Sus scrofa: one gene and its partners. The protein of the gene in region 1 interacts with the protein of each later gene in a pairwise test. Links are inferred from orthologs where the notes say so. Each region holds a gene or a part of one and is shown in the gene's direction. Other genes may lie near its edges. The genes, in order: USHBP1, TXLNA, BFSP2, CEP68, COPS4, CCHCR1 and melanoma-associated antigen B4-like.

Evidence for each region.
Region 2: the proteins of USHBP1 (region 1) and TXLNA interact in binary tests that used the Homo sapiens proteins (3 or more experiments, as listed by UniProt). The two-hybrid records come from large-scale screens. The link is inferred for Sus scrofa from reciprocal best matches to the Homo sapiens genes USHBP1 and TXLNA.
Region 3: the proteins of USHBP1 (region 1) and BFSP2 interact in binary tests that used the Homo sapiens proteins (3 or more experiments, as listed by UniProt). The two-hybrid records come from large-scale screens. The link is inferred for Sus scrofa from reciprocal best matches to the Homo sapiens genes USHBP1 and BFSP2.
Region 4: the proteins of USHBP1 (region 1) and CEP68 interact in binary tests that used the Homo sapiens proteins (3 or more experiments, as listed by UniProt). The two-hybrid records come from large-scale screens. The link is inferred for Sus scrofa from reciprocal best matches to the Homo sapiens genes USHBP1 and CEP68.
Region 5: the proteins of USHBP1 (region 1) and COPS4 interact in binary tests that used the Homo sapiens proteins (3 or more experiments, as listed by UniProt). The two-hybrid records come from large-scale screens. The link is inferred for Sus scrofa from reciprocal best matches to the Homo sapiens genes USHBP1 and COPS4.
Region 6: the proteins of USHBP1 (region 1) and CCHCR1 interact in binary tests that used the Homo sapiens proteins (3 or more experiments, as listed by UniProt). The link is inferred for Sus scrofa from reciprocal best matches to the Homo sapiens genes USHBP1 and CCHCR1.
Region 7: the proteins of USHBP1 (region 1) and melanoma-associated antigen B4-like interact in binary tests that used the Homo sapiens proteins (3 or more experiments, as listed by UniProt). The two-hybrid records come from large-scale screens. The link is inferred for Sus scrofa from reciprocal best matches to the Homo sapiens genes USHBP1 and MAGEB4.

Annotation. Positions count from the first base shown.
Region 1 is NC_010444.4:60,418,129-60,421,628, forward strand, and holds part of USHBP1 (Usher syndrome type-1C protein-binding protein 1), read left to right. Parts: intron 1-182; coding exon 183-432; intron 433-2,084; coding exon 2,085-2,303; intron 2,304-3,491; coding exon 3,492-3,500.
Region 2 is NC_010448.4:88,670,051-88,672,954, forward strand, and holds part of TXLNA (alpha-taxilin), read left to right. Parts: intron 1-277; coding exon 278-370; intron 371-942; coding exon 943-1,038; intron 1,039-1,956; coding exon 1,957-2,283; 3' UTR 2,284-2,904. UniProt on the Homo sapiens protein: May be involved in intracellular vesicle traffic and potentially in calcium-dependent exocytosis in neuroendocrine cells.
Region 3 is NC_010455.5:74,634,378-74,637,877, forward strand, and holds part of BFSP2 (phakinin), read left to right. Parts: intron 1-1,493; exon of another isoform or gene 1,494-1,648; intron 1,649-2,182; coding exon 2,183-2,403; intron 2,404-3,500.
Region 4 is NC_010445.4:76,873,674-76,877,173, reverse strand, and holds part of CEP68 (centrosomal protein of 68 kDa), read left to right. Parts: intron 1-2,986; coding exon 2,987-3,159; intron 3,160-3,500. UniProt on the Homo sapiens protein: Involved in maintenance of centrosome cohesion, probably as part of a linker structure which prevents centrosome splitting. Required for localization of CDK5RAP2 to the centrosome during interphase. Contributes to CROCC/rootletin filament formation.
Region 5 is NC_010450.4:135,300,845-135,304,344, reverse strand, and holds part of COPS4 (COP9 signalosome complex subunit 4), read left to right. Parts: intron 1-2,795; coding exon 2,796-2,947; intron 2,948-3,500. UniProt on the Homo sapiens protein: Component of the COP9 signalosome complex (CSN), a complex involved in various cellular and developmental processes.
Region 6 is NC_010449.5:23,545,765-23,548,109, reverse strand, and holds part of CCHCR1 (coiled-coil alpha-helical rod protein 1), read left to right. Parts: intron 1-789; coding exon 790-902; intron 903-1,017; coding exon 1,018-1,063; intron 1,064-1,217; coding exon 1,218-1,354; intron 1,355-1,473; coding exon 1,474-1,662; intron 1,663-1,753; coding exon 1,754-1,855; intron 1,856-2,345. UniProt on the Homo sapiens protein: May be a regulator of keratinocyte proliferation or differentiation.
Region 7 is NC_010461.5:25,894,292-25,898,223, forward strand, and holds the start of melanoma-associated antigen B4-like, read left to right. Parts: upstream 1-1,132; 5' UTR 1,133-1,253; intron 1,254-3,932.

The DNA of each region.
Region 1 (3,500 bases):
GTTCATCCATCATTCATCACTGATAGATGATTTTGATCATTGAGGTTTACAGTGTGGTACCCACCATATTGGTTTGACCATGCCCACCACAGATGGCATAGGAAGGACCCATCACAGTCAATAGGATGGAAGACAATGGAGCCCACCAGTGCTGACATAGGATCCTCTTCTGTTTCCTGTAGCCGCGAGGGCAACAGTGTGGATAAGCCCACACTGCAGGAGGTGGCTACCCAGCTCCAAGGCTATGTTCAGCGTCTCCAGGAACGCCGTGCTCTTGTGAAGATTCCTCCAGAACCTGGCCCTACCTCGGCACCCACGTCCACTGTGCCCCATGCTGAAGCCATGGTGCAGGCCATTCTGGGGACACAGCCTGGCCCGTCGCTGCCCCGGCTAGAGAAGACGCAGATCCAGCAGGAACTGGCAGCCACACGGGTACACAAGGGCTGTGGTCACTGTATCAGTCTTTCCTGGTGGAACCAAACTCTTTGCTGAGTCAGAGAGAAATGTGATTGGGGGACCCAGTAGAAAGGGAGCGTTTTGCTGGACTGGGGACTAGCTTCCTGGAGGGAGGAGATTTGGAGCTGGGGTTTTGAGGGATGAATAGGAATTTGTCCTCCGGCTTTCAGTTTCTCATAAGATTCCAAATCTAGCTTCCCAAAATGCCCCTCCTATGGAAAAGAAAGAGGAAGGGGCCATAATCTGAGGTTTGTAGCCTGGCATGAAAGAGCTGAGGTTTTGAATTTGGAGAAACTCCGGACACTTCCACTGAGCTGCTACTTGACCTTGTTTAGGATACTTGCTCTCTATGAACTGGCATTTCTACAAGCTGTTTTTTGTTTGTGCGTTTGCTTTTTAAGGCTGCACCCATGGCATATGGAAGTTCCCAGGCTGGGGGTAGGATGGGAACTGCAGCTGCCAGCTTATGCCACAGCCACAGCAATGGCAGATCTGAGCCTCATCTGCCACCCACGCCACAGCTCATAGCAACGCCAGATCCCTAACCTACTGATCGAGGCCAGGGATCAAACTGCATCCTCATGGATACTAGTCAGATTCATTTCTGCTTCGCCACAAAGGGAACTCCCTACAAGCTGTTGTGTTTTTTTGTTTGTTCGTTTGTTTTTGTCTTTTTGTCTTTTTAGAGCTGAACCCGTGGCATATGGAGATTCCCAGGCCAGGGGTCCAATCGGAGCTGTAGCCACCAGCTTACACCAGAGCCATAGCAATGTGGGATACGAGTTGCATCTGTGACCTACACCACAGCTCATGGCAACACCGGATCCTTAACCCACTGAGCAGGGGCGTGGATGGAACCTGCAACCTCATGGTTCCTAGTCGGATTCATTAACCACTGAGCCACAACGGGAACTTCACAAGCTGTTGTTTTTAATGGGAAGATGATATTTCCCATCATGCAAGATCATGAAGGGAGAGTTCCCTTCATGGCTCAGCGGTAACGAACCTGACTAATATCCATGAGGATGCGGGTTCGATCCTTGGCCTGGCTCAGTGGGTTAGGGATCCCGCATTGCTGTGAGCTGCAGTGTAGTTCACAGACGTGGCTCAGATCCCCAGTTGCTGTGGCTGTGATCTAAGCCAGCAGCTGCAGCTCTAATTGGACCCCTAGCCTGGGAGCTTCCGTATGCCACAGGTACGGGCCTTAAAAAAAGAAAAGAAGGAGTTCCCGTCGTGGCGCAGTGGTTAACAAATCCGACTAGGAACCATGAGGCTGTGGGGTTCGGTCCCTACCCTTGCTCAGTGGGTTAACGATCTGGCGTTGCCATGAGCTGTGGTGTAGGTTGCAGACGCAGCTTGGATCCCGCGTTGCTGTGGCTCTGGCGTAGGCTGGCAGCTACAGCTCCGATTCGACCCCTGGCCTGGGAACCTCCATATGCCGCGGGAGCAGCCCAGAGAGATAACAAAAAGACCAAAAAAAAAAAAAAAAAGAAAAGAAAAAAGACAAGATCACAGGGACGGTTTGTGTTCCTGCCTGACCAGCCCTCAGTGGGTGCCCCCTGGAGTTCAGTTTCCCCAGCAGTTGACCCTAGAGGTGAAAATTCTCTCCCCTTTCCCTGGTCTGCCAGGAGACCCTGGCTGACCTGACGCTGAGGCTACAGCTGGTGCGACGGGAGAAGCGGGCTCTGGAGCTGCGAGAGGCTGCCCTCCGAGCACAGGTCCCAGCCCATGTACTCCTGCTGGAGCAGCTGCGCTGGGAGCGGGCACAGCTCCAGACGGGTGAGGCCAACAGCAGCGGTGAAGACAGCAGTGGAGGCGCGACCAGCGGAGAGGAGGAGTGGTCCCAGGTGAGTTGGCCGTGCCTGGACCTGGTAGGAATAGCTGTATACTAGTGACTGTGTGGTTCCGGTTAATCATTGCCCCCTTTGGGGAGTTCCCTGGTTACTCAGCAGGTTAAGGAGCCAGTGTTATCCCCTCTGTGGCTCAGGTCACTGCTGTGGTGTGGGTTCAATCCCTGGCCTGGGAACTTCCGAATGCTGTGGGTGCAGACAAAAAAAAAAAAAAAAGAATCATAGCCCCCTTTGAGTCTCAGTTTCCATTTCTTTTCTTTTTTTGCTTTTTAGGGCTGCACAGGCAGCATATGGAAGTTCCCAGGCTAGAGGTAGAATTGGAGCTGCAGCTGCCGGCCTAGGCCACAGCCACAGCACAGGATCTGAGCTGCATCTGTGACCTACACCAGAGCTCATGGAAACCCTGGATTCTTAACCCACTGAGCAAGACCAGGGATCCAACCCGTGTCCTCATGGATACTAGTTGGTTTCATTATCGCTGAGCCATGACGGGAACCTCTCAGTTTCCATTTCTTCACACACAAAAAGAGCTAATGGTTAAGCTACATTTCAAAATTCCCACTTCTACTTTGGGGTTTCTTTCTTTGAGGGTATTTATTGAGCCCAATAAGCCCCAAGGGATTTAGTGTCTTCCACTCAAACCTGTGCCTCCTCCTTCCCACCCCCAGTCTTATTCATACTTCCCCTTCTCCATTCCAACGGTCCCAGCCTATGCTTCATTTCTTCCGAAGTTTTGGCTCCAGCTTCCTCTCTGAGGCTTTCCTTTTTGCCCCTTACTGTCTAATCATGCCTGTTCTCTGCTTAAAGCCTTAGTGGCTTCCGGAACCTTCCTTTGAATCACCTCTCCTACCTCCAAGCCTTTAGAAATGCTGTGACCCTGCTGGGAACACCAGTCACTTCCCTCCTTATCTAATTAAATTCTCAACCTCCTACAGGCCTGAACTCAGACATCACCTCCTCCAGGAAGTTCTCCTGGATTGCCTAAAAAGGAGATCCCCTGTAATTTTTTTCCCTTGTTAGGGAGTACCTGTACCCTTATGGAGGTACCTAACCAGAGTGGGGGCTCTGAAGGCGAGGGCTGTGGCCACGTGGCCACAACATTCTGGGTGATTTCAGTGTCCAGCTTGGGCTGAGCCCACACTCAGGCTATGCTAATGTCGCTACCCTCCCTTCTACCTCCCACAGAGCCTGCCT
Region 2 (2,904 bases), on another chromosome or scaffold:
CCCTAGAAAATACCCAAAAAAAAAATTATATAAATTAGACTTCTTTCCCAAAGAAAAGTTGGAAAACGTAAAGGCATAAAACAAGTCACCCCAAATCCTACTTTTTAGGCTTAGCATTTTAGATTATATCTTTCCAAATATATAGTTTTTGTTTTAAAGGAAACCGGTATCTCATTAGAATTGTTGGGGCGTGAGGTCAAGGATGGGTCTGAGTGTGTTGACCAGAAGTGCCCTCCAGAGAAGCCCTGTCTTACTTGTGCGTTTCTTTCTCACCCAGCTTGCCCTATACACCGAGAAGTTTGAAGAGTTCCAGAACACTCTTTCCAAAAGCAGTGAGGTGTTCACCACATTCAAACAGGAGATGGAAAAGGTAACTGTATTCCAGATTGGGTGTGGCTGCAGGAGCACAAGTGGCTTCATTCAGAATTAAACATTGGGCGGGGGTTCCTTGTGGCACAGGGGGTTAAGGATCCGTTGTTGTCACTCCAGCAGCTCCAGTGCCTGCTGTGGTGCAGATGATTCCCCAGCCTGGGATCTTCCACATGCCCCAAGTTTGCCCCCCACCCCCCGCAAAAAAAAAAAACACTGCGCCTGCCTTCAGAAAGCCCCCATCCCCGCGGTGCTTCACGGCGAACTGTTTACAGTGGGGGTGTGGTTGCTACCATGAGGAGGGTGTAAGTGGGCTGTGAGGAGGCTCACAGCCTTTCCACCCTGTTAGGGACAGACACATGGCTGGTACGTGTGCCCTTTAGGTTGTCCTGGAGAGGAGGCGGTCTTGTCATTGCCTGTATTGGTGGTGGGCACTTGAGACCTCCTAGGGTGGCACAGAAGGCACTGACCACGCCCTGTAGGACCTCATGCCCTTGGGTCTGTTCCCCACCTTGGAGATGCACAGACAGCCGAGTCCCCTGACCATTTCATTCTGTATGTTCCATAACCCAGATGACTAAGAAGATCAAGAAGCTGGAGAAAGAAACCACCATGTACCGGTCCCGGTGGGAGAGCAGCAACAAGGCCCTGCTTGAGATGGCAGAGGAGGTGGGCTGAGTGCGACCTGCCTCTGGGGCTGGGGTGTATGTCCTGTACATTCTACCGAGAAGTGAGGCAGCTGGCACCACGTGGAGCTAGGACCCATGTGCACGTCTGTCCAAGTCCAAAAGCACCATTGGCTGTCTCTCCAGGGGAGGTGGTGAGCTTAGCAGTAGGTCTGTAGTGGGAGGGGATGGAAGAAAGGAGCAGAAAACAAGGGGCAGTGATTGTGGAGCCTGTGTGCAGAGCCACCCAGATCATTTAATTGTGTGGCTTGAGATGTAGGAAAAGAAAGTAACTGATTGCTGGGCCCTGCTGAGTGTTTAGATGTGCTGGTTCATAGAGCTCTCTTGAGAACTGTTAGTGGTCCATTTTAACAGATACAGAGATAGGCTCAAAAGCCAAGTACTTTGTCAAGGCCATCAGGTGGATAAATGCAGGACTCCGTCACCTCCAAGCTTTGCCCGTTCTCAACACCACACTGCGCCTGACCGACAGTCAGAGTCTCAGCGTAAACCTGGAAAGGGGCCGGTTTTTGACTCTGGTCTGTCCCCAGCATTGTTTTTTGTTTGTTTGTTTTCGTCTTTTGTCCTTATAGGGCCGCACTCGCGGCATATGGAGGTTCCCAGGCTAGAGGTCTAATTGGAGCTATTGCTGCCAGCCTATGCCAGAGCCACAGCAACGCAGGATCCGAGCCATGTCTACAACCTATACCACAGCTCACAGCAATGCCGGATCCTTAACCCACTGAGCGAGGCCAGGGATCGAACCCGCAACCTCATCGTTCCTAGTCGGATTTGTTTCCACTGAGCCACAACGGGAACTCCTGTCCCCAGCATTGTTAGTGTGTGAATGTTTTCTGCCACATGGCAGTGTTGTGTGGGAGGTTGATGGCATGGCACTGAAGGCTCCCCTTTCTCTCCCTAGAAAACACTGCGGGACAAAGAGCTGGAGGGGCTGCAGGTAAAAATCCAGCGGCTGGAGAAGCTGTGCCGGGCGCTGCAGTCAGAGCGCAATGACCTGAACAAGAGGGTGCAGGACCTGAGTGCTGGAGGCCAGGGCCCCCTCACTGATGGGGGCTCTGAGCAAAGGCAAGAGGCTGCCAATGCCTCCAAGGAACAGGGTGGTGAGGGGCCCAGGGTCCTAGCACCTAGCTCCCCAAGGGCCACCGAAGCACCTTGCTGCCCTGGAGCATCAAGCATGGAAGCATCAGGCCAAATGGGGCCCCAGGAGCCCGCCCCCGCCACCGCCTAGGGAGCCTGCACAGGGAAGGGAGCGAGCAGCCCAGCCAGGCCTGGCCCATGCAAGGCTCCCACCGCTGAGACCCAGGGTGCTCTGACCTGGCTGGCATCAGACTCTGCAGTTTGGGATTTTATGGGTCAGTTTTGCATACGTATGGCATATGTGCAAGGCCTCATACATTTATATCTGTAAGTGTAAACTGGGCTTGCACTGGAGGTGGGGATGTGTACAGATGAAGTCAGTGGCTCTTCCGTGAGCTGAAGAGTCTTAGAGCTGTCATCTGTGGCTGCTGTCACAGTGAGCTGGCAGGACAAGTGACTTGAGCATTTCCCTGCCCTATTTGAGACTCAGCCCCTTCCTCCCTGCCTTTCAGGACTCGTGACAGATGAAATGCCCAGGCCCTGACTGTCTTTCTCCTGTTAGCGGGACTTGGGCAGCTCGGGCTCTCCTAGCCCCCCTGGGAGGAGCTCCCTTGCTTCTCTTGACCCGGAAGAGGGGTCACCGGGCAGAGCGTTGACAGGGTACTCAGCTGGCAATGGAACTGCTTTCCTGCCTAGGACAAGGGACCTGGAGAATGTTCTGTGCAGGATGATGTGCTGGTAGGGAGCTCCTCAGGCACCGCTTCCCCTGCCC
Region 3 (3,500 bases), on another chromosome or scaffold:
AGGGACAGGGCATCTCTTATGGAGGTTCCCATGAACCCACCTTTGGCAGTGAGTCCTAAGTCTTCAGAGGAAAACCCCAGGCCACATGGAGACATCATCATGAACATGGGACAAAAGCTATAGACAGATGATGCAAACATTATCCCATGAAAGGTTTTTCCAAATCACAGGTGTTAAAGATTCAATGTCAACTGCCACTCAAATGAAGCAACTTTCTGATAAACAAAGGAAGACGACCCAGAGGGGTTGGAACAAATGATTCTCAAAATCCAGGTGGCCCTTTCTGCATCCTCACTGCCATGGAGGGGTTTTCAGATCTCACCAGCAAAACAATAACCCTAGACCAGACTCTGGTCTACATCTACTTTCTACTGATGACATTTTGCCACCAGTAGACACACTTAGGATGGGAATCTGACTCAATGTCCCCACATCCTACGGAATTAGAAAGACTTCAGTAAGATAGTATGGCGACCCCTGCTTAACAGCAGCCATGATTCAAGATAACATCATGACCAAGAATCTCCCATTTCAGCCACAGTGGTCAAAAGAGTGTGGAAAATCTCCTGCTGGGGGGAAGGGTACAGAAACTTGTTTCATCAAAATTTGACTCAGTCCAATTTAGAAAGATATTTACTTGTTTTTTATGTGTTATATGAACAGCCAGATGCTAAATTATAGGTGCATCATAATTAGAACTGCTAAAAAACTGTTAAAGAGGAGTTCCCTGGTGGCCTAGTGGTTAAGGATTCTGCTTTATTACTGCTGTGGCTTGGGTTCAATCCCTGGCCCCGGAACTTCTGCATGCCACTGGCACAGCCAAAAAAAAATGTGAAAGACAGATGCACACAGTTTTTAAAAAGGTGTATGTTGCTCAGCCCTACAGTTTTCAGAGCTTAGTATTGAGAAGATAAGAAGGTTTCAGTCTAATGGGGAGACAGGGTCAATAAATGTAACCATAATATAGTGCTGTCATCTGGGCAATACACACACACACCACACACACACACACACACACGTACTCTGTCCCAGGCCCTGTCTTGTCACTGGGGTTATAGGGACTAGGCTTCTGCCCTCAAAGAGTTTAGTGTTTTCTAGAGGAGACATGCCCCTGAGAAGCTCGGCCCACTATGACAAGTTCAAGGGTATGCCTATGCTTGGGCAGCAGTGAAACCCAGAGGAGGGGCTCCTAACCCAGCTTGGTGGTGGCTGGGGCAAGAGGATATCAAAGAAGGCTTCCTAGGAGAAGTGACCCCTGAGCTTGGGCATCAGATAAGTAGGAGTCAGCCAGGTGAGGAAGAGGAGGAGCTCCAAGCCCAGCTTTGGACTTTAGACAGAGCTCTGTGGCTGCTGTGGGGGCTGCAGAGGAAGAGGAACTGCAGGCAGGGATATGAGCCAGGAGGCCATGGAGGTTACCATGGAGATGAGAGGTGGCTGCAGAAGAGGGAGGCACAAATAGGAAAACGTTTCAGAATATACAAGAGGCAGGACTCTGTGATGATTGACAGGGAAGCAGGTCTAGAGATATGGCTTTGACACAGGCCGGAGCACAGCTCAGAGAGAGACAGGCTCAGGAGGGCATGCAGGGCAACAAGGCGAGGACGGGTTAGCAAGATACGCTCCTAAACACTGAAGAAAACCTTGCTGGGTACGTAGGAGCCAGAGATGTTCCGTTAGACTGTGGGAATCTGGGAAGAGCGCGGCCAGGCCAGCATTCTGACTGCATGGTGGGTGGGGTCACCGTGGAGGGAAGGGGCCTCCAGGGTGAGCAGTCAGGAGCAAAAAGGCCCCCAGGCAGTTCTGGGAGCAAGACTTTGAAGAAACACCTGCAAATTGTCTCTCCTGTGCGTGTGTGTGAATTTCTCTCATTTTTCTTCTCATTCATCTGCCTCTCCTTTTCTCTCATCATTCTGTCTCATCACAGTCTCCATTCCTGTCCCTCTCCCCTCATCCCTTCTCTACTCTCTCCCCACCCCCCCCCCCACCCCCTCAGGAAGAATCAGTAAATTAGACTAAACAAGACTCCGACCTCCCCAGGAACCTTTTCAGTCCCTTAAGGTCATTGTCCTGGGAGACATGGACAGCCCCAGAGACGCCAGCCCCTCCCACTGCTCCGCCCACCTCCCTCTTCCAGGGCCCTGCCTGGCGGCTTGGGATCTGGACCGCATTCCTTCTCTCCTAGAAACGAGGCCTGGAGAACACCCTGCACGACGCCAAGCACTGGCATGACATTGAGCTGCAGAACCTGGGCGCCGTGGTCAGCCGCCTGGAGGCGGAGCTCCGGGAGATGCGCTCTGAGGCCGAGCAGCAGCTACAGGCCCGCGAGCACCTTCTGGCGCATAAGTGCCAGCTGCAGCGGGACGTGGCAGCCTACCACGCTCTGCTGGACCGCGAGGAGAGCAGGTGCGTCTCTGCCTGGCTTTTGTCAGGAAAGGAGGACACACCCGTGGGTTTCAATTAAACATTTTTTCAAACACTATAGAAGCAACTAAGGTAAAAAGGAGAAATCGGGAGTTCCCGTAGGTAGCTCAGCAGAAACCAATCCAAGTAGTATCCATGAGAATGTGGGTTCAATCCCTGGCCTGCTCAGTGGGTTAAGGATCTGGTGTTGCTGTGGTTGTGGTGTGGGCCAGAGGCTGCAGCTCTGATTGGACCCCTAGCCTGGGAACTTCCATATGCCGCGAGTGTGGCCCTAAAAAGCAAAAAAAAGGACAGGAGTTCCCGTCCTGGTGCAGTGGTTAACGAATCCGACTAGGAACCATGAGGTTGCGGGTTTGATCCCTGCCCTTGCTCAGTGGGTTAACGATCCGGTGTTGCCGTGAGCTGTGGTATAGATTGCAGACGCGGCTCGGATCCTGCGTTGCTGTGCCTCTGGCATAGGCCGGTGGCTACAGCTCCGATTCGACCCTAGCCTGGGAACCTCCATATGCCTCGGGAGCGGCCCAAGAAATAGCAACAACAACAACAACAACAAAAGACAAAAAGACAAAAGACAAAAAAAAAAAAAAAAAAAAAAAAAGGACAAAAAAAAGAGAGAGAGAGAAATCACCCCACGGGCTTCCCAACACCCACCCCCACTCCCACTGTGTCCTCCCAGGATATTCTGTTCATATATACATATATCCATGAATCTATAGACAAATATATAATATATATGTGTGTATAAATATACGTATGGGCATCTGTATACATTCACACACCCACAGACAGTACCTCTGTGTGTTTTCACGTACATCGTACATACATGGAATCTGTTAGGAATGCTTTCAGCTGCACGTGAGACCCTAATTAGTGCTCCTGAAACTTTAATGACCCTAAACCTGGGCATCTTTTTAAAAATGCAGATTCTGCTTCCGGTCTGGGATGGGGCCTGAGACTCTGCACTTAAGATAAAACTCTCAAGTGATGCCTATACTGCTGGTCCAAAGACCACACTTTGAGCAGCCAGGACATAAAACATGTTTACCTAAGAGTTCCAGAAATCAAGTAGGCTAGGCTGC
Region 4 (3,500 bases), on another chromosome or scaffold:
TGAGAACTGTGAACAGGCAGGGAGGGTTTTGATGGGATGAGGAGCCACGGAAGGTTGTCAGCAGGACAGTCATTCCCCAGTGTGAGTGAATTAGGCCTCTGCAGTCCCCACTTGCGAGAGGCCTTTGCATTGGCTCTTCTGGTGTTTTCTTGCACTAGGACGTTTTCGTTTTTACTGGAGCAGAGTATGCCAAGCTCCTTGTCCCTTGTAATTATACCAGCATTTTGCTAAATACTGAGTGCCAGACGCTGTGCTGAAGCGTATCAGTTGGGGTTGTGTTGTTGTTTTCCATTTAATCACAGCCCTGTGAGATGGATCCTGTTATTACTCTTAGCTCACAGAGCTGTGAATTTGCCTTAGGCTACACAGGGAGTGGCAGCCTGGCTCCAGCCCCTGTGCACTGGTCCTGTGCTGCTGTGTCTGGAGGTGCAGGAGCCTGAGCTGGAAGAGCTCAATACCAGGAAACTTTTCTGGAGGCCACATGTAACAGTGGGCCTCTTACAAGCTACAGGTTCTTGCACCTTCATTTAAAAATTAATTCAAGGAGTTCCCATTGTGACTTAGCGAGTTAAGAAACTGACATAGTGTCCATGAGGATGCAAGTTCAATCCCTGGCTTCACTCAGTGGGTTAAGGATCTGGCAATGCTGTGAGCTGTGGGGTAGGTCAAAGACATGGCTCAGATCTGGCATTGCCGTGGCTGTGGTGTAGGCTGGCAGCTGCAGCTCCAATTCAACCCCTGGCCTGGGAACCTCCATATGCCTCAGGTGTGGCCCTTAAAAAAAAAAAAAAAAAAAAGTAATAACCTCTCAGTACTTTATCTGTAATAACATCCCACTTTGCCCTTCTCTCCAAAGGTGTCTAGAGTATTTTACTGCCCCAAGAAGAGGTATTTGGGTATTCTGTGGTCTCCAGCCTCATTAAGATTGCCACCCTGCCCCTCCTGATCCTCTGCTTGGAAAAACCAGGAACTTGGCTGTTTTGTGGAAATCACAGGGCCTGTCCAGCTAGGTGCACAGCTGTCCTCTCCAGAGCACACGACCCGCTTTGTCAGTCATTGGAGCCAGTCAGCGGAGCCTGAGCACAAACACTACCCGCGCCCCCACCCCCCTGCTTCTTCACAGCCCGCTTTCTTCCTCAGCCACAGGTAGAACCTTAGGGACAGGAAGTCAAATTAATTGCTTCAAAATGTGCCCATCTCAGTCTCCAGGCAAAGGCTTCCCCATGGCTACCGGGCAGGTGTTTTCACTACATTTTGACCCAGGTTCTTCCATGCATGAGTTGACAGTCCTGTCGCACATTGACCCTTCATTATACTGGCTCAAATGACTAGAACCTACTGACATTAAGCTGAACCAGGCCCCTGTATGCATGTATTCAATTAGAATATATTAAAGTCTCACTCGGAAAAATTTCACCACCATTCCCAGCTTTTATTTGACCCCAGTCAAATGTTCTAACGTTCTAAGTTTCTAAGTTAAAAAAATAAAGCTCCCCTGGGAGTTCCTGTTGTGGTGCAGAGAAAACAGATCCGACTAGCATCCATGAGATTCCATCCCTGGCCTTGCTCAGGGCGGTAAGAATCCAGCGTTGTGGTGAGCTGTGTAGGTCGCAGGCGTGGCCCGGATCCCGTGTGGCTGTGGTTGTGGTGTCGGCTGGCGGCTACAGCTCCAACTTGACCCCTAGGAACCTCCACATGCCGTGGGTGTGGCCCTAAAAAACAGAAGAAAAAAAAATAAAAGGGTCCTCTGAACTCCACTGACTGCACCCGGAGGACTGAGCAAAGGTCTGGCGAAGGCGCAGGGGAGAACCCAGCCATTTGCCTCACGTACAAAGTGAGGGGTGAGCTGCACTATGGTGGCATTCCTCAGCCTGCCCTGCTGCCTCTAAGCTCTCAGGATGGTACTTTGCCCTAAGGTCACTGCACTGTGTGGCTTCCCCAGAGGCTGATCTCAACACGGCCAGCCCATTCTTTCTTCCGCCCATCCGTCAGCACCCTCTGCAGATATGCAGCTTCCCCTTTCCCTTCCGCCACTAGCAGATGTTGCAGCTGTGGCAGGAAACTAGGGAGAGTGTGAACACAGCTGATAAAGGTGCAGGAAGCAAAAGCAGCCTTTATGTTTCACAAAGGAAATAAAAGTTTTTGAGGGAAAAAAAACAAGCCTCCTGTGTGTGATGCACCCTGAACGTAGCCCATCCCTTCCTCAGATGAACACTTGGCCTGTGGGGGACGGAATCTTGGCCTCACTAACCGTTTTGTCCTAGCCTGCTTCCAGGTCATTTTCTTTTGAAGTCCGTTCATTTAGGATTTGCAAAAAACGGTTGATGGGCCTTCCCATATTATATTACCAGACCACTCATACACTTGTGAAAAGACAGTCCCACAGCCTACAGAAGCTGATAGGACCTGATTAGAACCAGGTCCTAATTTTGACATGTTGCTTTGTTTCACTTCAGACTCCTGCCCCACAGGATTTGGGTGTGCACCCTGGGCCTTATCTCTAAAAGTCGGATCATACCAGGCACCAGATAACCATGTCTCTGTGCCTTTTTGTGAAGTATGTCCTTCCAAGTGGAGCCAGTGAACCTCTTTTCTCAGCTTTTTTTTTTTTTGGTCTTTTTTGTCTTTTTGCCATTTCTTGGGCCACTCCCACGGCATATGGAGGTTCCCAGGCTAGGGGTCTAATCGGAGCTGTAGCTGCCAGCCTACGCCAGAGCCACAGCAACGCAGGATCCGAGCCGCGTCTGCAACCTACACCACAGCTCATGGCAATTTTCTCAGCTTTAATCACAATTTACCGTAGATCCTCTAGTGCATTAGTGCCTAGGGAGTCACTGTTGAGGAAAAAAAGAAAAAAAAAAAGCAGACATTTTGAAACTATTGCCATGTTCCTGTGTTGTATAAAGTACTACATCCTCGTATGCTCTTTTAAAAGCATACTTACTGTTGTTTCTTGGGCCTGACTTCTGTAACCCTCGTGTGTTAGTGTTAAAGGACATCCTCGGGAGGATCTCCAGGCAGCCCAGCGAGCTGGAGAGCCACGCGGATCACCTGTACGACACCATCTTAGCCTCCCTGGACAGGCTGGCTGGCTGCACCCTCGTCCCTGACGGCACGCCCATGGCACACAGGAGCGCCAGTGTGAAGGGGATTAGCCTGGTAGGTAGAGCAACCCAAGAGAAGAAAAACTGTCCTCGGACCCCAGTGCTGGATAAGGTACAGAGCTCCTGCTCCAGCAGGTGGTGGATTCCTAGAAGTTTGTTGAGCTAAGAGCTACTGAAACAAATGAAAGGCTAGGAGAAGCCCCTGGACCTGAAAAAGAGAGATTCTGACATGGCCAGGAAGAAGATTGGGGGTCTTCCTGTGGTAACTACAGCTCAGTGTGGTGCTTTCCATCACTCAGCTTCACCCCTGAGCTTGCTGACGACTGGGGTGCTCTGCACTTCAATTTTCTGTGGCAGACCCATTGCCCGCAAGCATGACTGCAGAAGTCATCGATA
Region 5 (3,500 bases), on another chromosome or scaffold:
GAGTTCACAATACTAATGCTACTTGATAGTGTGCTTTCACATACATTATGTATCACACAGCTTCTTTTCATAACCCTCTACTGAAAATGCAGCTGTAGATAGCCCTGTATAATAGATTTTAAAATGTGTCTCAGGATTAAGTGACCTTTTTTCCCAAGGACATTCAGCTAGTCAGTGGTAGAGCCCAGACTAGAAACTAGATTTTCTGATTTATAATTCTTCTTTTACTTATACTTCCCTGAGAAGGCTAGTTTGTATACTAATTTCTTTCTTTCTTTTTTCTTTTTCTTTTTTTGTCTTTTCTAGAGCTGCACCCGCGGCATATGGAGGTTCCCAGGCTAGGGGTCTAATCGGAGCTGTAGCCACCAGCCTACGCCACAGCCACAGCAACGCCAGATTGGAGCCCTGTCTGCGACCTATACCACCGCTCACAGCAGCGCCGGATCCTTAACCCACTGAGCGAGGCCAGGGACCGAACCCGCAACCTCGTGGTTCCTGGTCAGATTTGTTAACCACTGAGCCACGACAGGAACTCCTATAGTGGTTTCTTTCTAATAGTTATAGGCGTCTACGGCACTTTTAATGAAACTGTTTTCTGGAGTTCCCATCATGACGCAGCGGGAATGTGTTAAGTGCCATGTGCCAGGTATTATTTAAAGTACTTTATATAAATACTGCACTTAAGCTTCACGACAGCCTTATCCACATTTCACAGAAGAGGAAAGAGAAGCACAGAGAGGTTAAGTTTTTTGTTGGAGGGCGTATAATCAGGAGTGTTTGGAAGTGGTGTGGCTCCAGAGTCTTCATCCTTCATCACATGTAATCATACCTCATAAATGTTTATAAACAGTATCGTGAAATATGTCTATACATCTAGTGCTGATCAAAGATCTTATTTTTTCTTTTTTTGGGGAAAGTACAAGTGGCAGTAACTGTCACTACTTGCTCTATTTAAACATCATGAAAATTATTTCGCTTTCTATTCATTTTTGTAGTGAAGTGGGATATGAGAACACAAATGAAACTATAGGTTTTTCTACTCAACATCACTAATTATTAGAGAAATGCAGCTTAGAACTATAATGAGGTCCCACCTCAGACTGGTCAGAATGGCCATCATTAAAAAGTATACAAATAACAGGGAGTTCCCGTCGTGGCGCAGTGGTTAACGAATCCGACTAGGAACCATGAGGTTGCGGGTTCGGTCCCTGCCCTTGCTCAGTGGGTTAACGATCCGGCGTTGCCGTGAGCTGTGGTGTAGGTTGCAGACGCGGCTCGGATCCTGCGTTGCTGTGCCTCTGGTGTAGGCCGGTGGCTACAGCTCCGATTCAACCCCTAGCCTGGGAACCTCCATATGCCGTGGGAGCGGCCCAAGAAATAGCAACAACAACAACAAAAGACAAAAAAAATAAATAAATAAATAAAAATAAAAATTTGTTAAAAAAAAAAAAAAAAAAAAAAAAAAAAAAAGTATACAAATAACAAATGCTAGAGAGGGTGTGGAGAAAAAAAACAGCCTATGCTGTGGGTGGGAGGTTCCTCCAAAAACTAAAGAGAATTACCATATGGGAGTTCCCACTGTGGCCCAGTGGGTTAAGAATTCAACTAGGATCCAAGAAAATGCAAGTTCAATCCCTAGCCTTGCTCCGTGGGTTAAGGATCTGGTGTTGCCTCGAGCTGCAGCGAAGGTCACAGCTGTGGCTTGAATCTGGGGTTGCTGTGACTGTGGCGCAGGCCTGAGGCTACAGCTCTGATTCACCCCCTAGCCTGGGCACCTCCATAGGCCTCAGCTGCAGCCTTTAAAACAAAAAAAACCAAAAAAAAAAACCAATGCCTTTCGCAGTAACATGGATGCAACGGGAGGATTATTATAAGTGGAGTAAGTCAGAAAGAGAACAGCAAACACCACACCATATCACTCACAGGTGGAATCTAAAATGTGGCACAAACGAACCTATCTACGAAACAGAAACAGACTCGTGGTTGCCAGTGGGGAGGGGGAGGGAGAGAGATGTACTAAGAGTTGGGGTTAGAGGATGCGGAGCGATGTCCTTTAGAAAGGAAAAACAAGAACGTGCTACTGTGCAGCACAGGGAACTGTTTCCAGTCTCCTGGGACAGACCATGATGGAGCAGAATGTAAAAAAGCACGAATGTCTGTGTAGAACCCAGGCACTCTGCTGTCCAGCAGAAATTGGTGCAACATTGTAATCAATGATACTTTAATGAAAAAAGAGACAAAAGTAACAGTGTTTCGGAGTTCCCATTGTGGCACAGAGGAAACGAATCCGACTAGGAAGCGTGAGGTTGTGGGTTCGATCCCTGGCTTTGCTCAGTGGGTTAAGGATCCAGAGTTGCTGTGGCTGTGGTGTAGGTCGGCGGCTACAGCTCCGATTAGATCCCTAGCCTGGGAACCTCCATATGCTGCAGGTGCGGCCCTAAAAAGCAAAAAAAAAAAAAAAAAGTAATAGTGTTTCTTCACTTTATAGAGAAATAAAGAAGAGAAAGGAATGATATAAAATTCTCAACTGTTGAAACTTTTCCCCAGCCATTTCTGTTTCTTAGAAAAGTTGTGGTATTTTTACTGTTTTGCTGTAGTTATGTAATCAGATAATTCAGCATAAGGAAAACTGGTTCTGTAATATAAGAGTGTGTGGAGTGTGGAGATCCCTAAACAATGCTTTGAGAGGTTCACTAATACATATGATTTTTAGTATTAATTTTAGTAAAGATGGATTGCTTAATGGAAACACATAAATTACTCATGTTTTCTTATCCCTTATTTTTTTTAACAAGTGGTAAATGAGAACGTTAGCCTCGTGATCTCTCGCCAGTTGCTGACTGATTTCTGCACACATCTCCCTAACCTGCCTGATAGCACAGCCAAAGAAATCTATCATTTCACCTTGGAAAAGATCCAGCCTAGAGTCATTTCATTTGAGGAGCAGGTAAAACCTAGAGCACTGACTTTTGTTTTGCTTTGTTTTTAGGAATCTGTTTAGGATGTGTTTTCTTTTTAAATTGAGGCATAGTGGATGTACAATATTATATATATATAAGTTTAGGTGTAAAACAGTGATTCATAATTGTTAAGGTTATATTCCACTTACGGTTATTATAGAATGTTGGCCATTAGAGTGGTGATTTTTGACCTTGAGATAGCAGCAATTATTTTTAGAGACGCCGTTACATTTTTAAAGGTGATAATCATTGTTTCATTTTTACAAAACAGTGTGCCAAACATTTTTTTTTTTTTTTGCTTTTTTGGGCCACACCTATGGCATATGGAGGTTCCCATGGTAGGGGTTGAATCGAAGCTACAGCTGCCGACTTACACCACAGTCACAGCAAGGCAGGATCCAAGCCGCATCTGCAACCTACACCACAGCTCATGGCAACGCCAGATCCTTAACCCCCTGAGTGAGGCCAGGGATCGAACCCAAAACCTCATGGTTACTACTCAGATTTGTTTCTGGTGCGCCACAATAGGAACTCCCCGAA
Region 6 (2,345 bases), on another chromosome or scaffold:
AAGGATCTGACCTTGACACAGTTGCCATGAGCTGTAGTGTAGGTCACAGACTCGGCTCGGATCCTGCGTTGCTGTGGCTGTGGTGTAGGCTGGCGGCTATAGCTCCAATTTGACCCCTAGCCTGGGAACTTCCATATGCCGTGGGTGCGGCCCTAAAAAGACAAAAAAGAAAAAAGAAAAAGCAGATTGTGAGAATAAGCTTTGCAGTTCGCTTAAAAAGATGTAAAGTCATTTAATGCCTTCTTGGGCTGTGGGCTTTGGTCCAAAGAAGAATGCACATAAGTTCATATACCCTGAATGTAGCTTATGGTGCCAGGACAGTCCCACACTCTGGAGATGCATCCGGGGGCCTGCAGGTAAAAATGCCTAAATTACTAGCAATTAGTCCACCGTAGGGCACTCGTTTTAGCCCCTGCAGGTAGATCATCGTCACAGAGTCCTTACGGTAGTCCGTGAAGGTGCAACCCCATGAACCTCACTGTTGTTTTATGAGGACCCAAACGAGAAGCTTATCATAGGTTTGAGGACCAGCAATAGCTGTGCTTTTCTTATGAGCAACTGCATCATTTTTATCTGACCATCACCAAGGGGCGTAAGCTCTCAGATCTTCTTTCACAACTGGCAGGGCCCAGAGGTGGGGCCCCTCCCCTTAGCTTCAGCGTCTCTTGCCCCTGCTCCATTCCCTCTTCCCTGCCTTCCCCACGCGCTTAGCAGTTCTGGGGGGAGGGGGGTCGAGTCTATTTGGATGTGCCGTGGGGTTGAAGGTCGGTGACCTTGTGCCTTCTCCAGCTTTCAGGCCTGGCTCCAGAGCACCATGGCCGAGGTGGAGCGGGCCACGGCCCGGCTGCCCAGCCTCAGCGCCCGCCTCAGCTATGCCGTCCGAAAGGTCCACACCATTCGGGGTGGGTAGAGCAGCCTCCAGATGCGCCCCGCCCCGCATCCTCTTTCCCCTTCCTCCCGTCTCCCCTCTTCCTCGCAAACGCATCTCTCTGTTGCTCTTCTACCTTTTCTCCCCAGGCTTGATGGCTCGAAAACTGGCCCTTGCTCAGCTGCGCCAGGAGAGGTGACGTTCGGGCCACTTTGAGTGGATGGGAGGGGGTGGGGCTTTTCAGATGTCAGTCCCTGGACCAAAAAAGCGAGGCTGGAGGAAGGGTGGGCCTTCCGGGTCAGGCAGCTGGGTGATTCCCCCACCCAGCAGTTTCTCTTCTCTGTCTCAGCTGCCCCCCACCCCCACCGGCCACCGAGATGAACCTCGAGTTGGAGCAGCTGCGGGAAGAGCGGAACCGCCTGGACGCAGAACTGCAGCTGAGCGCCCACATCATCCAGCAGGAGGTGGGCCGGGCCCGGGAACAAGGTATGCCCGGTCCTCGGGTTACTGAGCTGGAGCAGGGGCCAGCGTCTGAGCCTTGGGGATGAAGAGGAAGAGCTGGGTCTAGGGGTGGAGAAGCCTTAGAGGGTGCCATCTCTTCCCAGGGGAGGTGGAGCGGCAGAAGCTGAGCGAGGTGGCCCAGCAGCTGGAGCAGGAGCTGCAGCACACACAGGAGTCCCTGGCCAGTTTGGGGCTGCAGCTGGAGGCAGCTCGCCAGGGCCAGCAAGAGAGCACGGCGGAGGCTGCTGGTCTCCGGCAGGAGCTGACCCAGCAGCAGGAGATCTATGGGCAAGGTGTGCAGAGGGGCATGGCAGACCCGAGGGGGCGGTGGGGACTGTGAAGCAAGCCCCACCCCCCCACACCCCATCTGCACCTCCACCCCAGCGCTGCAGGAGAAGGTGGCCGAAGTGGAAACTCGGCTGCGGGAACAGCTCTCAGAGTCAGAAAGGAGACTGAATGAGGCTCGGAGGGAACACACCAAGGCCGGTGAGATGGGCCGGGGTGGAGGTGGGCTTCTGGGAAGAAGGAAGTGTTGAGGCATGAGGTTATTTTTGAAACTTTAAAGCTTTTTTGGAAGTGTGCAAGTAATGAAGTTACCAGGGAAGATGAATTCTCAGGTGGTAAACACCCATCTACCCGGCTCCCAAATCAAGCAACAGCACGCAAGCCCCCAGCCCTGGAGCCCCTGGGGCCGCTCCCCACCCGTCACTCTCCTTCACAAAGGCATCGTGACATCTCACACCTGACATCCCACACCAATGATCACCCCGATTTTTAATTGGCAAAAATTTCAAACACCTAGCCAAGTTAAAAGAATCATGCAGGAGTTCCTGTTGTGGCTCAGTGGAAACGAATCTGACTAGTATCCATGAGGACACAGGTTTGATCCCTGGCCTTGCTCAGTGGGTTAAGGATCCAGCATTGCCGTGAGCTGTGGTGTAGGTCACAGACTCGGCTCGGATCCCCCGTGGCTGTG
Region 7 (3,932 bases), on another chromosome or scaffold:
CAACATTTATGAAATCCCTACTCTGTATCATGTCCTGTGCTAGACACTGAGACTTTATAGAAAATGGTAAATAATTTCTGTTCCCAATATATCAACACATACTTATGGTAATTCATTACCTGCTGAAGTTACTGGTTTTATGACTTGTCCTGTGCTCACTGCAAATAATTGCACAATTTGCACTAGTCATCACTTCTGCTTGGAAGTTCCTCTTCTCACTTTTCCATCTGTGAATGCCATATTCATCCGTTCTTTAATATCCAGCCCCAAACAGCTTTTATCTCTCCAATAAAGACTCTATTTTCCCTCTTCTGAGCTCCACAAGGACCAATCATTTGTGTGTGTTTGTCTCTTTATGCATTGGTCTCCTTGTCAGCAGGGTGACATTCATCTTATCACTAGCACCTAGCACAAAACTTGGCGCATACTCAGTGTTTCATTAGGGTGAGCTGTGTTGACTTGGGGGAAGTAGCTCAAGTGCATCTCCTCTGTGTGTGAAGAATGTTTTATAATAGAGTGATCACAAAAGACTCCATGCCCCTCACCCCCAAGGAAACTGAAGCACATCAGAAAGCAAACCCGGTCCATATCTTAGGAAAGGTTCTTCAGTGACACAATCTTGGAAGTGGAATTGGGCCGTCTTCTTCATGACATGAGCTGTGGCCTCTTGGTGCTGAGGACCCCATTGTTGACACAGCTAGCCATGTTTTCATTAATTTGAATCAAGAAGCCATTTGGCAGCGGAGTATTACTGACTCTGGCATACTAATTATGTTGGCACTTCCCCCCCTTTTCTGACCAAAGGGAAAAGGTTGTAAGGAGATTGCTGCAACGGAGGGAAGGAAAGCAATTCAGGAAAGGCCCCATACACAGCCCAAAACACAAGAATACACAGTTAAAAATACAAGAATATTTCACAGATTGCCGGATGTCATAATTCTTCTCCACCTGTCTGCAAGAGTTCAGTGCTAATCTTCTATTCAGTTTTGTGGGTGTTAATTTACATAGAGCAAATATAGGTGAGAGAGTTGAAATGATGGGTGCTAAAAATTTTAGTTCCTAGGCTGTGTTGTTGACTTTGACTAGGAAATCAAGATTTAACTGTGCCTCACTTTTTTTTTTCCACTTTAAGAAATAATCGTAATCCAAAACTAACATGGTAGCCAAAGTTCTGCAACAGCTATGGACTCAAAAGATGGCTAAAAATCCTCAATAGAAACTCTCCCGTAATTAAGCAGCACCCGGCAACACAGGTGAGAATTATTAAACACTACAAAATGATGCCAGTTCATTGAGGCAAGTATTGAAAAGGGTGGAATTAATCTACCCATTATTATACTGACTTATTTCATTGAGGCTGTGCCTATAAGGAACATTAAAGGTCAGGGGGTGTGGTGTTCACTGTGTATATAGCATAGGAGCTCTGTTGGATATCTGCTGTTTTCCTCTCTAGGTATGTGCTCTTTCCTTCCCTGTTACTTGACTGATGTCTCTGTAGGCCACATTGGCAGGGTTCCTGTACCTTCTGTCTTCTGGTTGGGTTTAACCTACAGGGAGCTCTGGGAGACTGAAGGGAGAAAGGAGAAAGAGAATAGGGTATTTATTCTCCACAATCCTTTCCTGCACCATTGCCTTGGGCTGGCTCTGTTTCTCAAATTATATTCTTGAGTTAGCCTACTCTACATAATTTTGTCATGTTCTGAGTTCCAATAACTTCTCCCTTGTTTCTTAGGACCTAGGGATGGTGACAAACTCCACTGTTACTAGCCTCAGGTTCTTGCCCTATATCTTGTGGTTCCACCTACACCTAAATTAATAGTTTGTACTTAGTAACTTTATCAACCCTCTATGAATTTTTTTAAATTCTAATATGTCATGTGTTTCTGACAAGACAAGGCAAGACTGACAGCAGTAAAGCTTTGTTGAATGAAGTATCCTCAAATAGCACAATAGAAGCTGGGGTATACAAATGTCATTATATGATACAGAAAACAAACTTTCTTCAATGAAGGTCAAAAGATGAAGCATAAACTGTGTCAGCCTTAAAAAAGAAAATGGGTTCCCTGTTATAAGTTTTAAAAGGTGAACAAAAGAACATGTAGGCAGCTCAGATCAATGTTATTTTACCAGTTTGTAGGATACAAGTTCTCAGAGCAGCTTCAAACATTATGCAGTTCTTAAGTACAATTGAAATTTTATAATATACCCACTTAAATCATTGTAATCATTTTCTGGATGAATAGTTCTTAGTGGATATAAGTACTCCTATATCTGATTAGAAAGACATATGTACAAGTATTCATTGTATTTTTGGCATTTTAGGTTGATTTAGCATTAAAAGATGGGGTTAATTGCCAAAAATCACCTAGTGATAAGACGGAAGAAGGATTTTACAAGCATAGCTCATTTTCTGAACAGTTTTACAATGTTGGAAAAATATATCTGTGTGAGTAGAAAATGTCAACTTCTACACTGACAGAAAGCAGCAAATCAAATCGCTCAGGCTTTAAGCAGAATAAGATTCTCCTTACATGATCTGGTGCTACATGTTTGAATAAAGTAAAACCTTCAGCAATCAGGAATCTTCATCTTCTTACAGTTTTTGAAAGTATCATTTTTATATTTATCAGATGCCTTAAGGAGTCCAAGTTCTTACAAATGAGAAAATATTTTTTTTTCTTTCATGATTCTCTCTCATTTTAGATAATGTATCTCTCTTTAAGTTTTTAAAATTAAACACATATATAGCATATTACCTGTAACTCTCAGTAATCTGGAAAAGTAAATCTGCATTTCTTAAAGATTCTTATGATTAGAGTAATGATGCAGCCACTCTATAGTCATATTACAATTATTACACAACTTTCTTACTTGGAAAACAGAACTTAAATTAGCATGCAAGAAATCATATTTTATGAATTATTAAATATGTGTCATTGGTGTTTTAAAATCAATACATATTATTTAGTTACATAAATCAATCAGACTATAGCTAACTTAGGTAACCAGTTATGTGCTGTTGAATCCATGGATTAAATAATTTAAAATGATAGAGTTATGCCAGCAGTGCCAGTAGAAAAACATTTTCTTTTTTTTGTCTTTTTTTTTGCCTTTTCTAGGGCTGTTCCCGTGACGTATGGAGGTTCCCAGGCTAGAGGTCCAATTGGAGCTGTAGCCACTGGCCTACTCCAGAGCCACAGCAACCGCTGGCCTACGCCAGAGCCACAGCAGTGCGGGATCCGAGCAACATCTGTGACCTACACCACAGCTCATGGGAGGGAATGCCGGATCCTTAATCCACTGAGCAAGGGCAGGGATCGAACCTGCAACCTCATGGTTCCTAGACAGATTCGTTAACCACTGCGCCACAACGGGAACTCCAGTAGAAAAACATTTTTAAAGCATCCGCTATGTTCCAGGTGCTTTTGAAGATTCATAACTAAAACATAGTCCTTAGCCTTAGAAAAATTGTAATCAAAAGGAACGGAGAAAGTATGCATGTGATTGAATAAAATATAAGTTGAAACATGATAAATTCCTTCATAGAAATTTTTTTTTGTCTTTTTAGGGCTGCACCCATGGCATATGGAAGTTCTCAGGCTAGGGGTTGAAGCTGCTGGTCTATGCCACAGCCACAGCCACTCCAGATCAAAACTGCATGTGTAACCTACACCACAGCTTATGGCAATGCTGGATCCTTAACCCACTGAGCAAGGCCAGGGATTGAACCTGCATCCTCATGGATACTAATCAGTTTATTAACCTGCTGAGCCACAGTGGGAACTCCCCCTTCAGAGAAATTTTTGAAAAAAAATGGTACAAGTGTGTATAGGATTAGAGCATATTTGGTTGAGTTTATTAGGAGAGAAATCACTGAGGATGTCTGAGGATGAATTAGACCTTGAGGGATCAATAAGATTTCAAAAAGGAAA